2 linked regions of the Drosophila melanogaster genome follow. The protein of the gene in region 1 purifies or fractionates together with the protein of each later gene. This does not show direct contact. Each region holds a gene or a part of one and is shown on either strand. Other genes may lie near its edges.

Region 1 (4,656 bases):
AAGATCATGAAAAATTTATCTGCTATTCAATTGGAAATAACTTTACAGTAAGGTAATGAGTAATCAATGGATTTTTTTGAACAAATGGACTGTGCGCTTATCGAAATATAATAAAAAAAAATCGATCCTCATGAATAAAAGTAAAGATATGTATGCCTGCCTTAACCATAAGCTGTAATTTCCTTGGTTTTACCCACCTTGAGCTGCGCCTCTTTATGCCGTAGTTCCTGCTCGAGTTTCTCGTTGAGATCATGCAACGATGTAGACTCCCTCTGAGCATTCAGGTATCGCTTTTCCAATGTGGTAATGCGCTCCTCCTAAAAATGAACGTATAAGTAAAAAACTGAAACCATGCTGTGAGTATTATTCACTCACCTGATCCTCTTTCTGGGCAACATTCTCGCGCAGATCCCGCTGCAGCTTGGCACACTGGTCTTGGGCCTTGCAGTGTTCCTTTTGCACTCGCGACATGTTCTCCTCAAGCTCACTAATCTTGTTGTTCAAATCAGAAACGCGTCGCTGCCATTGTGAAAGTTCCGAGGTCTGACAAGGAAAGAGCGTTTTAAAAAGTGTTCACCATATGCAGACTGGAAACAGATCCGCAATCTTCACCTGCTTCTCAATAATGGTTTGCAGCTCGTGGGTTTTGGCTGCGTAGTCGTTCAGCTCATTTGCCTCGCCATTAACGCCACCAGATCCGCCCACGCCCGCCATCTAGGGTATTGGAAAATAGAAGAGATATATTAAACCGGACATGCTTGACTGCATTTCGAATGTGGAACGCACCTTCTCTTTGAGCCCGTTCTCGGCGCCCCCACCACCGGCGGTGGTTGCGGCACTCCCTGCTCCGCTGCCACTGCCCACGCCAGCTGGCACCACGCCCGCCTTGTACTGGGCCAGTTCCTCCTTGGCAGAGCTGAGTTCCTCTTCCATCATGTTGTTCTTCTCGATGGAAAGCCGCAACCGCTCGCGCACCTTCTCGTCCAGCGCCTTGTGGTGCTCGAACAGCGACTTTAGCGCCTTGAGCACTTCCACCTCGCTGGAGACGCCGCTCTGGGCGGCAGCCTGTCGCTTCACAACGGTCATACGCAGGGAACGCTCGTGGCGGGACACCAAGCACTCCAGATGTTCGAGGAGAAGCTGAAATAGTCAAGTTAGATCATTAAAAATATATTATTTCACGCAGTAACCGACGTTTAAATTGTCTCTTTAAAAGTAAAATTACCGTAGAAATTTAATTAAAACTGATTTTCTTGATATTCAATGAAGCGGAAAGGACTTATAAATACAGTTTACTTCACTTTTTATGGTTTAAGACGGATGTGAATACAAAGAACTAATTCTTAAAAGGCTGTAACAATGTTTGTATAGTCACTGATAAGTAAACAAATAGACAAGCCATGTTCGAAATAAAAATGAAGACGGACAGAGTAAACTTTTGTATTGTTCCCGGTATATGTGACTAATTCGCAAAAGCAAGTACCTACAACTGTTTCTTGTTTGAATAACAATGGGATATGTAATTTAGCAATGGCTATAATACCTAAATTAATAAATTAGTCTAGCAAATCTTGTCATGATCTACCTGATCTAACCATTACTCAATTGTCTCAGTAATTGAAATACCAAGGATCTAAATTTTCGAAAATCACTTACCCTGGTATTATTCCTCTCCGCCTTGAGCTCCCCAATCTCCTCGTCACGTTCCAAAAGGGTCTCCCGCGCTTGCGTCAGCTCCTTGGTCAGGGTGGCAAACTCCTAGAAAGATCAGGAAAAGATTTTAGGTAAACTGCGGTATCAGCATGCAGAGGCCACTTACTTGCGGCAGATTAGCGTTAATCTGTCGCTGCAGGCTGTCCCGCTCCTTCTCGACGTCACGCAGCTTGTTCTCCGTCTCGTTAAGCCGCTCCTGCGCCTCCCTCAGGCTGTCCATCAGCTTGTCCCGCTCGTCCAGCATGGAGACCATCAGCTGCTCAAAGTTGGCATCCTCCCCGCTAAACTGCGAGGAGCGCTGCGAGATGCTATCCTCGGATATCGTGGGCATTACGTCGCACATCATGTTCCACATTATTTAGTTGGGGCCGCCAGACTGTGCGAGACAGAGAGGGGAATAAAGGTTACAGGATTTTGGCTGTAGGTACATTTTGTGCGGAGATTGTACCACTATCGCTGTTACCGAAGCACAAAAACTAGACGCGTTTTTCTAAAGTTTCTTGAATTTGATCCTTGATCATAAATGAATTGGCGTGATTGAATTTTTGTCTGTGATTCCGCATATGGGAGATACTTAATGCTGTAGCTTCTTCTGCATAAAATCAAATTCTTTATGTTAATTGAATTTATAAAGTAAATTCAATTAATTCATACAAAATGTCCATTCTATGGAGTCCGGATATTTTACTACACACACACACGTTCGCTAGCCATTCCAATTGAAATACCCAGCATAGTGGGAGAAACATGTCTAATGAGACTTATCATAGGCGCCGCATTGATAACAAGTTTTCTACACCAACACATACGCACACTGTCGCAGGCGGGGGCACACGCACGGCATACACACTCACACGCGCACGCACACAGGCACAGTACTTTTTCTCTTTCGCATAACTGGCATATTTTGTGTGCCTAGGTGTGTCGCTGTCGCATTTTGCAATCACATATACCCGAAACAGGGTTAAACGAGCAGCAGGTGCGAGCTTACGCCGCTTTTAAATGCGTTCCAATGAGTTTTTCACCTGAAATTTCGGTTTAGTGGGACGGCGTTCGTGTGAAAAAAAAGAGGCTGCGAGAAAATCGCCTCGTACTCCTCGTTACGCCGGAACACGTACCCCGATCGATCGCACGGCGGCTGGGCAGCAGCAGCAACAACAACTCTGGCCGCTTTTTGCCCTTCGCATAGGTGTCCCGGCTGCTTTTAATTAAATAAACCGAATTCCAAATGGATTTTTTAACGATGAGAAACTGGTCAGTGTTACCAGATGGCAAAACGGCTAAAATCCGTAAACCAACCCTGGTTCTTCACTACAAAATGTACTACATTTCATGAATTTTTTCAGTGGTTCTATTTCGTCCAAAAAATATAGAAGTAAAATGTGTTGTTTTAAAGTTTTTGTGGCAGTCTATTTATGTTCAAAGCTAAATTATATGCAAATATTATTGCCGATCAGGAGTTGCCATTTGACCTATCGTCAAGTATTAGAAAAATGTGTACTAAAACTAATGCTGCCACACCGCACAAAGAAAACCATATCTAACAAATATTCAAACTACATGTAGGCGCACAACTAGACAGTCAAAAAAACTTATCACTTTTATCTGAAATTATTTTGTAACTTCCGTCATTTAAATGCAATGCTTCAACAGCTACACATGTTTTTGAAAAAATTACATTGTTATGGTGCCTTACAGACAAACATATTTAGTATTTATTTATCTTAATTAATTTGCAATTCGCTTTACAGCGATTAAATTATTCGATAAGAATCATTGCTCTTATACGAGCTCATGTGTTATCGATGCTTGGAAGCTAATAAATAAATCATCGATGGTGTTGAGCCAGTAAAAACATCGATAGCACCATACAAACATCGATTTTGGTTCCAGCTCTAGACATTTGTGTTTTATTTTTTTTAACCGTGAAATTCATAAGTAAAACCGACTAGCATTGGTATAAACTGCTGCGGAAGCACTCAGTCAGCGCCAAAGAACGAATACAATGGGGTAAGACCGATGGGCGCGGCCAAACCGGCCTAAACCTGCCGTTTTTACTGTGGGAAAAATCGACGCCGAACTAGCTGACATCTCCCCCCTATGATGTTGTTGTTGTTGCTGCCGTTCTGTGTGTAGCGGGCGGCGTAAATACATACATATATATGTACACAAACATACACCTACACACGCACACGCGTGGGCAGGCCAATTACATGTGTGTGGGTGTGCAGGTGTGTGTGACTGTGCAGGTGTGTGCGTGCGTGTTTTCCGCCCGAGAATCAAAAATCACAAGCAAGGCTGCGGAAAAGGCTTAGCACATAATGCAATTTAGTCGGCGGTCGACAGTCGCCAGCGATAACGGGAAGACACAAGTTATAGAGCTCAGCGAACGATGTCGGCGGATAGGTAATAGATAAGATATATATATGTATATGTGTACAAATAAAGGCACTGGAGGCTACCACGGATACGGAATTGATTTGATGGGGGCCCTGCGCCCCGCAACAAACTGTCATTGCATCAGGCCAGATCGCAAAAAACAAACATATATCGACCTACTTTATCAAATAAGGACCACGAGGATTATCCTGGGACTTAAGGACTACTAATTATAAATGCATTACACAGTGCCTGTTGACTAATAAACCACAGTAAAAGAATGCTTTGCCATAGTTTACTCACACGAGCACAGAAGCACAATTTATTGCCTGCTCTAAATGGAATTTTTAATTAATCACACGCTTGTCGCTTTAATCCCTTTATGACCCTTAGCGAACAACCGATTTTCACCTGCCAGGCGCACGTCTTCCACATCGATCCGAAGACGAAGCGCACCTGGATCACGGCCAGCATGAAGGCGGTCAACGTTAGCTTCTTCTACGACAGCTCGCGAAATCTGTACCGCATCATCAGTGTCGAGGGCACCAAGGCGGTGATAAACTC
Region 2 (7,636 bases), on another chromosome or scaffold:
CTAACTGCTAGGCTAAATAGCGTACAATATTTGCAAATTTGAGTCGTGGAGTAGTAAACATGTTTTATATAGTATGTGTGTATAATAGTGGCATGTGGCATGAATGTCTGGATGTCATATAGCTATCTATGTATGCATGTGGCAGAAATCGGGGGATATATATGTACTCAATCAAGGTGGTAAACGCCTACGCCTTAAGTTAGACAATTCAAATTCAACTGTACAATTATATTCACGCGTTTACTGAAATGGTAAGAGCATAGTTGTGATACCAGATTATTGCACAATTAGATCTAATTGATAGGGCTATAGCTAAAGCAACGCTAGCAGCAACATGCATTGGGTAAAAGATATAAGAAATAAGAATATATATAAGAAGGTCATTCAGGGCTAAGCTTCACTGTGGCATGCGTTGGAGCAAAAGGGTAATCTTGAAATGCATATGCAAACGAAATTGGAGCTAGACAATCGATCTCGTTGGGGATTCTTGATCTTTATTGGTACTATGCATGATCACTAAAGATAGGTATTTTGTATGTGTATATATATATAGCAATTGGCTTGCATCCGTTGCCACGCCCCCACTCTAAGCCCCCAAATGCAAATGCATCGTTCAAAATTGTTTGTTCTCTAGTTGTGCGGATTCTATCCTTCATCTCTGGACTTGGACTTGTGCTTCTATATATGTATGCTTTCTGGCCTTAGTCTGGAGTGTGTAGGTCTATTTGGGTAAGTTCTGTGGTTTGACTATCCTCCTCATTGGAGCTACGAATATTGGTGGCGTCGGCTGGCCAGCTCTCTCCTAGTAGTTTCCATCCGGCGGCGGCGTTGTGAGGTACTCATCCGTCCGCTTGTGCTCGTTTAGCGCCTTCACGGTTCCACTGTCCGATGGCAGGTCCGATTTCCGGCGCAGCAGCGGCTTGTCCTTGTTCCGTTCGCCACGAATCTGTGTGGAACGGGAAGGGGGGTTTGGCAATAGAAAATGGACCCGCTTCTGACACTAAGGCATCGCAGCACACACACACACACACACTGGGCGGGTGAAGTTACACGGTGGTGCGGGATGATTGCGTTACGATATCGAGTGCTGTGGTGCTGGATGGAAACTCGATGACCACCAGTTGGACAACACACGACTACGATATATATATACATCTACACCCGAATGTCGAATTGTGTTACAAAGGTCTGAGATCGAGGAGTGTTGTATGGTTTCTGGTTCTGAGTTGTTAACAACATGATACATTTGACACTAGTTTTTAATAGTTATGTGCACAGATTTTACTCTAACTGGGATTCATGCTTAAAAATGGTGATTCACTTGAGGAAAATTATGTTAAGTGTTCAAATTAATAAATGAGAATCATATTGATGTTACAAAAGGAACGCGTTCTCTCATTAAAATGACCACAAATGAGTTAAAAGATGGACCAAAGTGTAATTAACATCTAAGTAAGATAAACTACATATTAATTCCGCCCAATTCGTATGCGGTTAACCAAAAGTGCAGGAGAAAAGTTGTTGTGTCGTGGATGAATTTGCATGGATGCGTTTGGTTTGGCAGACAGTGAGGTTACCAAATAATTAATAAATAAATAGACAAAGTTAAAGATATACAAATATGTATTTTTTTTTTTTTAAATGACATGAGTGTGATTATTTTAACAGACATTCGTTCGATTAGAATTAGAGTTGAAACAGAGTGGGCCTTAGCTGGGCACAGCTCACAGCGACGCCAGGATCACACGTGGCGGATTAGTAGTTGTTTAGTGTTGTTAATGTGGCAAGTGCCTGTCTCACCTCTCGGGGCTCCTGGTGCGCCTGTTTCTGTGGCGGCAGCGGAGGCGGCGGCTGGCGCGCCCTCTGCTCGCTCTGATCATACGCTGAATCGCTGTTCTCACTATATTGATCGCACAGGGCCCGGCTGTCGCTGACCGGCAGGCAGTCGTTAAACCGGCGCGCCTTTGTCCACTCCGGGTTGGTCTTGGCCAAGCTCTCCACCTGTTGCCAGAGCTCCTCCCTTTGCGACAGCTTCTCACGCTCCCTGCAATGCAAAAAAAAAAAAAAAACGCCAATGTTTAGTACAAAGTAATAAAACGTGAGTGCATCGTCCCATGGAAGTTAATTATCAACTAAAGTTAACACATACATCTGCTTCTCTTGCTTGTAGTTCTTGCTGCACTCGTCAAAAAGCCGCTGATCTATCTCCATGAACAGCTTGAGTGCATTGTAGATCAGACCATGGATGGTCTTGTTCCAGTGCGTCTTTGAGTTGCGATTGAGCGCTGGGAACATAATGGGTAATATCACCGCCGAGTTATCCGTTATCAGCGACATAATGTACTCGTTGTTCCAATAGTACAACGCACGTTCGGCCACCTGGAAATGAGGCGAAGAGACGCACTTGGCTATTTGGCGGAACAGCGGCACCATCACCTTCTGGAACTCGGCCGGCTCAATTACGTCCAACAGCTCCTCCAGCTCGTTCAAAAACATAACCTCCTTGGGACTGTGCGTCTTGGGCCAAAATTTAAGTAGGCTTCTGCAAGAATATTGAAATATGGCAGCGATAGGCTAATTAGAAAATGCGCAAAATAAGGAATTCTTTACTCACTTGATGACCGCCTCCGATAAGCTAGGATCCTTCTCCAGGAACTGCACCACACAATAGGTGAGCTGCGGATGGTAGACCGAGAGGCTCTTGGCTTTGTGCAATGGCAGCAATACCTTAAGTAAAAATTGTTTATGCTCCTCCTTAAGCGGCAGAGCAAAGCCATTGATAATGCTACCCAGGATTTCCAACAATTCGGCTATGCCATTATGATGCTCCGTTTCATAAATAAATCTAAATGTGGAATGCGATTAGTAATGTGAGGCATTAACCTTATAGATATTCCAATGACGAGCTCACCTGTAAAAGACATTGTTGATCTGCTTTCTAATAAATGCTCTCAAGCCCAAAAATTTTCCATAGATGCGATGTAAAACAGTCTTCAGGAAATCACGTTCACGTGGATCCTCCGAATCGAATAAATCCAATAGTTGTAATACAAATTGATGGTCGATAAAACGTTTTGCCATGCTTGGTTGAAAATCTGGTGACTCCAAGAAGCGCAAGAACAGCTCGTAAACGAGTTGCAGATGCGGCCACGAGGACTCCAACGTGGGCTCATCCTCCTCCGGATCGAATTCGGCACCATTCGGGTTGGACGATGGCGGCAGAGTTCGGAAAAGGTTGACAGCAAACTGATGAGAACAGATAAGTATGTTGTGGTAAAAGCATGTGATATTATTTTAAATATGTAAATTAGTAGCTTACCATATTGATCGCCTCCGGGTAAATAACTTCGGTTATTACGCCATTTTGGTTGGTGAGGAAATCGACCATTTCGTGCAGAGCCGCCCGCTTCACCTCCTTGAACTTGAGGTCGCTGAGCGGCTCGGAGAAGTCGAACAGTGTGCAGCATTGCTGGATCTTCTGTATGAACAGCTCCTCACGTTCACTGGCGGCGGTCTCTATGGAAATACAAATGAAATCATCATTAATTTTTTTAAATATATAATATAAGTGATAGATATATCAAACAAAATGTAAGCCATATAAAATTGACCTTAATATAAAATTAAAAAAAAAAAACCTACAACTACAAAAACGACCAACCAAAAGCAGGCAAGCGAAACTCAAAACGAACATAATGAAGATCGGAAGAAAGGATCAAGTAGCCGGAGGACCTCAGGCCCAAGGGCAATGGCTGGAATGGCTCCATCCATCGCCATTGGCCCGGATCCATTCGGGATAGCAACCTCGCAGTGCAGGCAGCGCCATGGCAACCGAAGCGGTGGGTGGCGTGTAGAATAGATTCCGGTCGCGAGCCCTTCCCGGACTGCCCGTCAGCTGTTGGAGCGTCTGGGGCGAGGGCTGAAGACCCGCCGGATGACCCGGCAGTATGTCACCGTTCTGCCGGATGCTTAGGCTCGATGTGGTCACCACCATGGTGGCGTTAGGTGTCACCATTACTGCTGATGACGCAGGTGCTGCGCCGCCATTGCGCTGGCCAATTCCCAATGAGATGCTAATGCCGCCCACCAGATTCTGGGCCACCGTCGGACGCATCTCCTCTGCGGGCACATCGCTGGTGGTGGGAACAGCGGCGACGGCGGTGGCGGCGGACGACGGCACAGCCGCCGCAGAGGATGGGGATGATGAGGAGGAGGTGGCCGCCGCTGCTGCCGCCGCCGCAGCACTAGTACCCACACTCTTGGTGGCATTCAGTATGTTCTTTATGGCCGCGGCCGCGCTCACAGGTGACTGGATGATGAGGAAGCGATGAAATGAGAGCAGAGTATGGTTTTGGTTTATCAAATTTCGGTTTGTTCAATTGGGATGGAGTTAGTGTTGGTGGATAGTGTGTGAGATGCTACTAAATGTATTAGCTTCTAGCGTACAATGTAAATAAAACTTTGATTAACAAGGTACTTGAATTGTTATTTTTTTCTTTGAAACTTAGTTATCGTTATCCAAAAAGCTAACACAATTAGTGAAAGTTTGGAAGAAAGTGTAAAATTTGTGGTTTGTACTTGGAGGTGGTGATGTGGTTATGTTTTGGGTTTTCAGATCGCTGGGTGTGTGTGTATGTGGACAAGACCAAGCTGCAAACCTTGCTGGCGGCGATGGAGCTGCTGGCTGCGTTGTTGGTGGCGGTGGATGAGGAGGAAGCTGACGAGGAGGACGCCGCCGAGGCAGAGGATGCCGCAGCGGCTGCCGCCGATGCTGCGGCGGATGTGGCCGCCGAGAAATGTTGTGCCAAAGTGGACACAAGTGAATTGCTGCCGCTAGCAGCGCCCGTTGACGTTGTTCCAGATCCAGATCCAGATCCTGCTCCTGCCGCGTTCTTCGACATGCCGGCATTCGAGGATAGCGAGAGCGAAGAAGTGGAGGACTGCGATCCAAATGGCGAGGAGGCAATCAGTGCAGCTGCAGCCGAATTCGCTCCACCACCGTATGTGGCGGCCGAGGATGAGGCCGAGGAGTTAGCAGCCGCCGAGGCTAGCGAGGATGAGGCCGCCTGTGAAAGCGAGGACAGGGCCGAGGCCGACGAATTGGAGCTGGTGGACGAGGACGATGGTGAGGAGGATGTGGTGGGTGCTCCGGATCCGGCTGCTCCTCCTGCTGCTGCCTCTGGCGGTGAGAGGGGCGTTTTCCGCCCCTCGAACTTGGCCTTTAGCTCCTCCACGCTGCTAAACCTGAATCGGCTGCCGGTCTGTTGCTGCTCCTGCTGCTGATCCTGCACCTGATCGTCCAACTCGTCGTCGGCCAGCTGATCTAGGCCGCTGTGAAACGATGGAGATTTGGGTATGCGTATGCCGAGGGCATAATACCCGGCTGCAATGGGCTGCGTTTCCTGCTCCTTGCTGGAGGATTTAATGGGCGCCGGTTTCTTTTGCTCTTGCTGCTGCTGTTGCGATTGCTGCTGCTGCTGCTGCGGCTCCTGCTGATGTTGCTGTTGCTGCTGTTTGGGACCTTTGAGCCCGTTGCCCGTCAGCAACATAGCACCGAAGACCATCTCATTAGTGCCGGCACTTGGAGCAAATGGCACTCGGTTTTAATCTTGATACGGAACGCTTGTTTTTTTTACCAGCCGCCCCCGCCGACCAACAACAACACATGAGAAAGACTACACTAGAAACTCAATTTGGGCACGCTAAGTATGAAACTATAGAATCTGTAATGGAATTGCAATATAGATAATGGTTTAGATTAACGCCAAATGCGATTATGCGCTGATGGTAACACAAAACGAAATGAAATGCAATTGGAAATGAAAATGGAAATGACAACGCCTCTGCTAAAATTCTTCTTTTGCCTCACAAATGGCCATAATTACGTGGAAAAACTTACGGTTCGAATGGGAACAAATGAGGGAATAGGATAGGAGAGCAATTAACTTGGGAAACGAATATTTTCAACTAATATTAAAGTTTTCGGGGCACACGACGTTCACGGTCTTGAAACGGTTTTTTTTTTGTTGCTTCGACTGCTGCGCCAATCGGAAAAATCGATATCGAGAGAGAATGAAATGGAGAGAAATTTGGTGAGCAGCAGACAGAGAGAAAATAAAGAGAGAGAAAGTGGGCTGGTGGGCGAGCGAGCCACAATAACAATAAAACCTAATAAAATAAAATAGTATTGAACAAGCGAAATTTGTTTATTCGATTTGTGAGTCGAAACCGCCCAAGCAATTAGCAGAAAGGTATGTGAATAACGCAATGCGATGACATTCATGCTGCACAGAAAAAAAAAGTGTAGCAATTTCATAATCATTACGCGCAGATATGTACATATATGATTTTCAAAAATATTGAATTTGCTTTTTTTTAAATTAATTCCCTGCAGGATACAGTTTTTCTAATTATTTGTATACACAAGTTTAAATCAATCGAATACATTTGTGTCATAAAGAAATGCCGGTGTATATATGAAATTTAAGACGGTCTGAGAAATCCTCTAACGATGCTTTCTCCCAGTGTAATGAGAGGCTGCGGAGAGAGCGCATGTGTTGAAATTCCGGTGAGTGAGAGAGGTGGAGAGAGGTGTGAATTGATGCGGCTGCTTGGTTCACATGTGTGAGTGGCCGTGCGTCAGTGTTGCCACCCACCTAATCAGACGACACTCCCTTGACCTTTAACTTTAACAAATAATAAACAAATTACAACAGCTGAGCGAAATTAATCAAGCGCCGGCCAATCAATATTCCCAACAAGCTTGCAGGTCGTAGGTACACTTTACAGAGAATGCCTCTTGTAAGTTAAAGCTGAACTTATAATCATGGAAATTTACCGGAGTTAATTGACATAATATATGTAATTATGCATCGTTAATGGGAATTACTACGATTTATACAATCTGTTTTGAGTGTATAGTTGCATAAAAACTTAATTGACGATGTTGGTAGACAGTAAGAAAGGTAATTTTATATCGCCTAAACGGAACCCTGCCCTAAAATGTATGCTACGACATGGCTACGACCAAGTTCTACCCCATGCAACCGATCTGCAGGCTTAAGAGATATCGATCTGAACAGCTGGCAGTACATGTATTATAAAGTAATATACTAAGTAGTAGGATCTACTCCAAGGCTACTCACTCTCGTTTAGCGGAATGAGGGCCGTCAGTTCGCAGTTCTTGGAGGCATTGTACCGGGCGCTGGTCTGGCGCTTCTCCTTGCGAACGATCGGGGTGCCGGTGATGTTCAGGACCTTGCTGATCGGCGTGGGCGGCGGTGCATCGTACGGTGGTGTGTTGTCCTTGAGTTTGTTAGCCTGCAAAGGGGCATAAATGACACTTATCTGATTATCTTTTCCCATGTCAACGGTTTGGCTTATGCTTAGTAAATGAAAATAATTTTAACAACGAATGCAAAGCAATATGCGGTCAAATAAAAAGCATACTCAAAACGTAGCACTTGCAAAATCAGAGCAAAGCAGTTCAGTTCGGGATGGTCCCTCGCTGCCATTTTGGCCGGCCATCGCTTTTACCTTGGACTGTGCGAATCCTTGACGCCTAAGTTGAGCTGCCTGTGGGTGTGTTTTAGTCTGAGTTTAGTAATGCCGAACATTGAAATGTGCTCTGGGATCA

What was found.
Region 2: the proteins of Liprin-alpha (region 1) and wrd purify together in Drosophila melanogaster (affinity purification with western blotting; one study listed by BioGRID). This does not show direct contact.

Annotation. Positions count from the first base shown.
Region 1 is NT_033779.5:6,722,260-6,726,915, reverse strand, and holds the start of Liprin-alpha (Liprin-alpha), read right to left. Parts: upstream 3,014-4,656; 5' UTR 2,832-3,013; exon of another isoform or gene 2,739-2,831; 5' UTR 2,523-2,738; intron 2,090-2,522; 5' UTR 2,069-2,089; coding exon 1,820-2,068; intron 1,759-1,819; coding exon 1,657-1,758; intron 1,141-1,656; coding exon 787-1,140; intron 715-786; coding exon 613-714; intron 544-612; coding exon 376-543; intron 318-375; coding exon 198-317; intron 1-197. Other genes in the region: homer, read left to right, coding at 4,106-4,119, 4,486-4,656.
Region 2 is NT_033777.3:18,171,213-18,178,848, reverse strand, and holds wrd (well-rounded), read right to left. Parts: upstream 6,006-7,636; 5' UTR 5,900-6,005; intron 5,724-5,899; 5' UTR 5,565-5,723; coding exon 4,659-5,564; intron 4,310-4,658; coding exon 3,805-4,309; intron 3,517-3,804; coding exon 3,320-3,516; intron 3,247-3,319; coding exon 2,912-3,246; intron 2,846-2,911; coding exon 2,615-2,845; intron 2,543-2,614; coding exon 2,150-2,542; intron 2,045-2,149; coding exon 1,801-2,044; coding exon of another isoform or gene 1,756-1,800; exon of another isoform or gene 1,608-1,755; intron 947-1,607; coding exon 803-946; 3' UTR 474-802; downstream 1-473.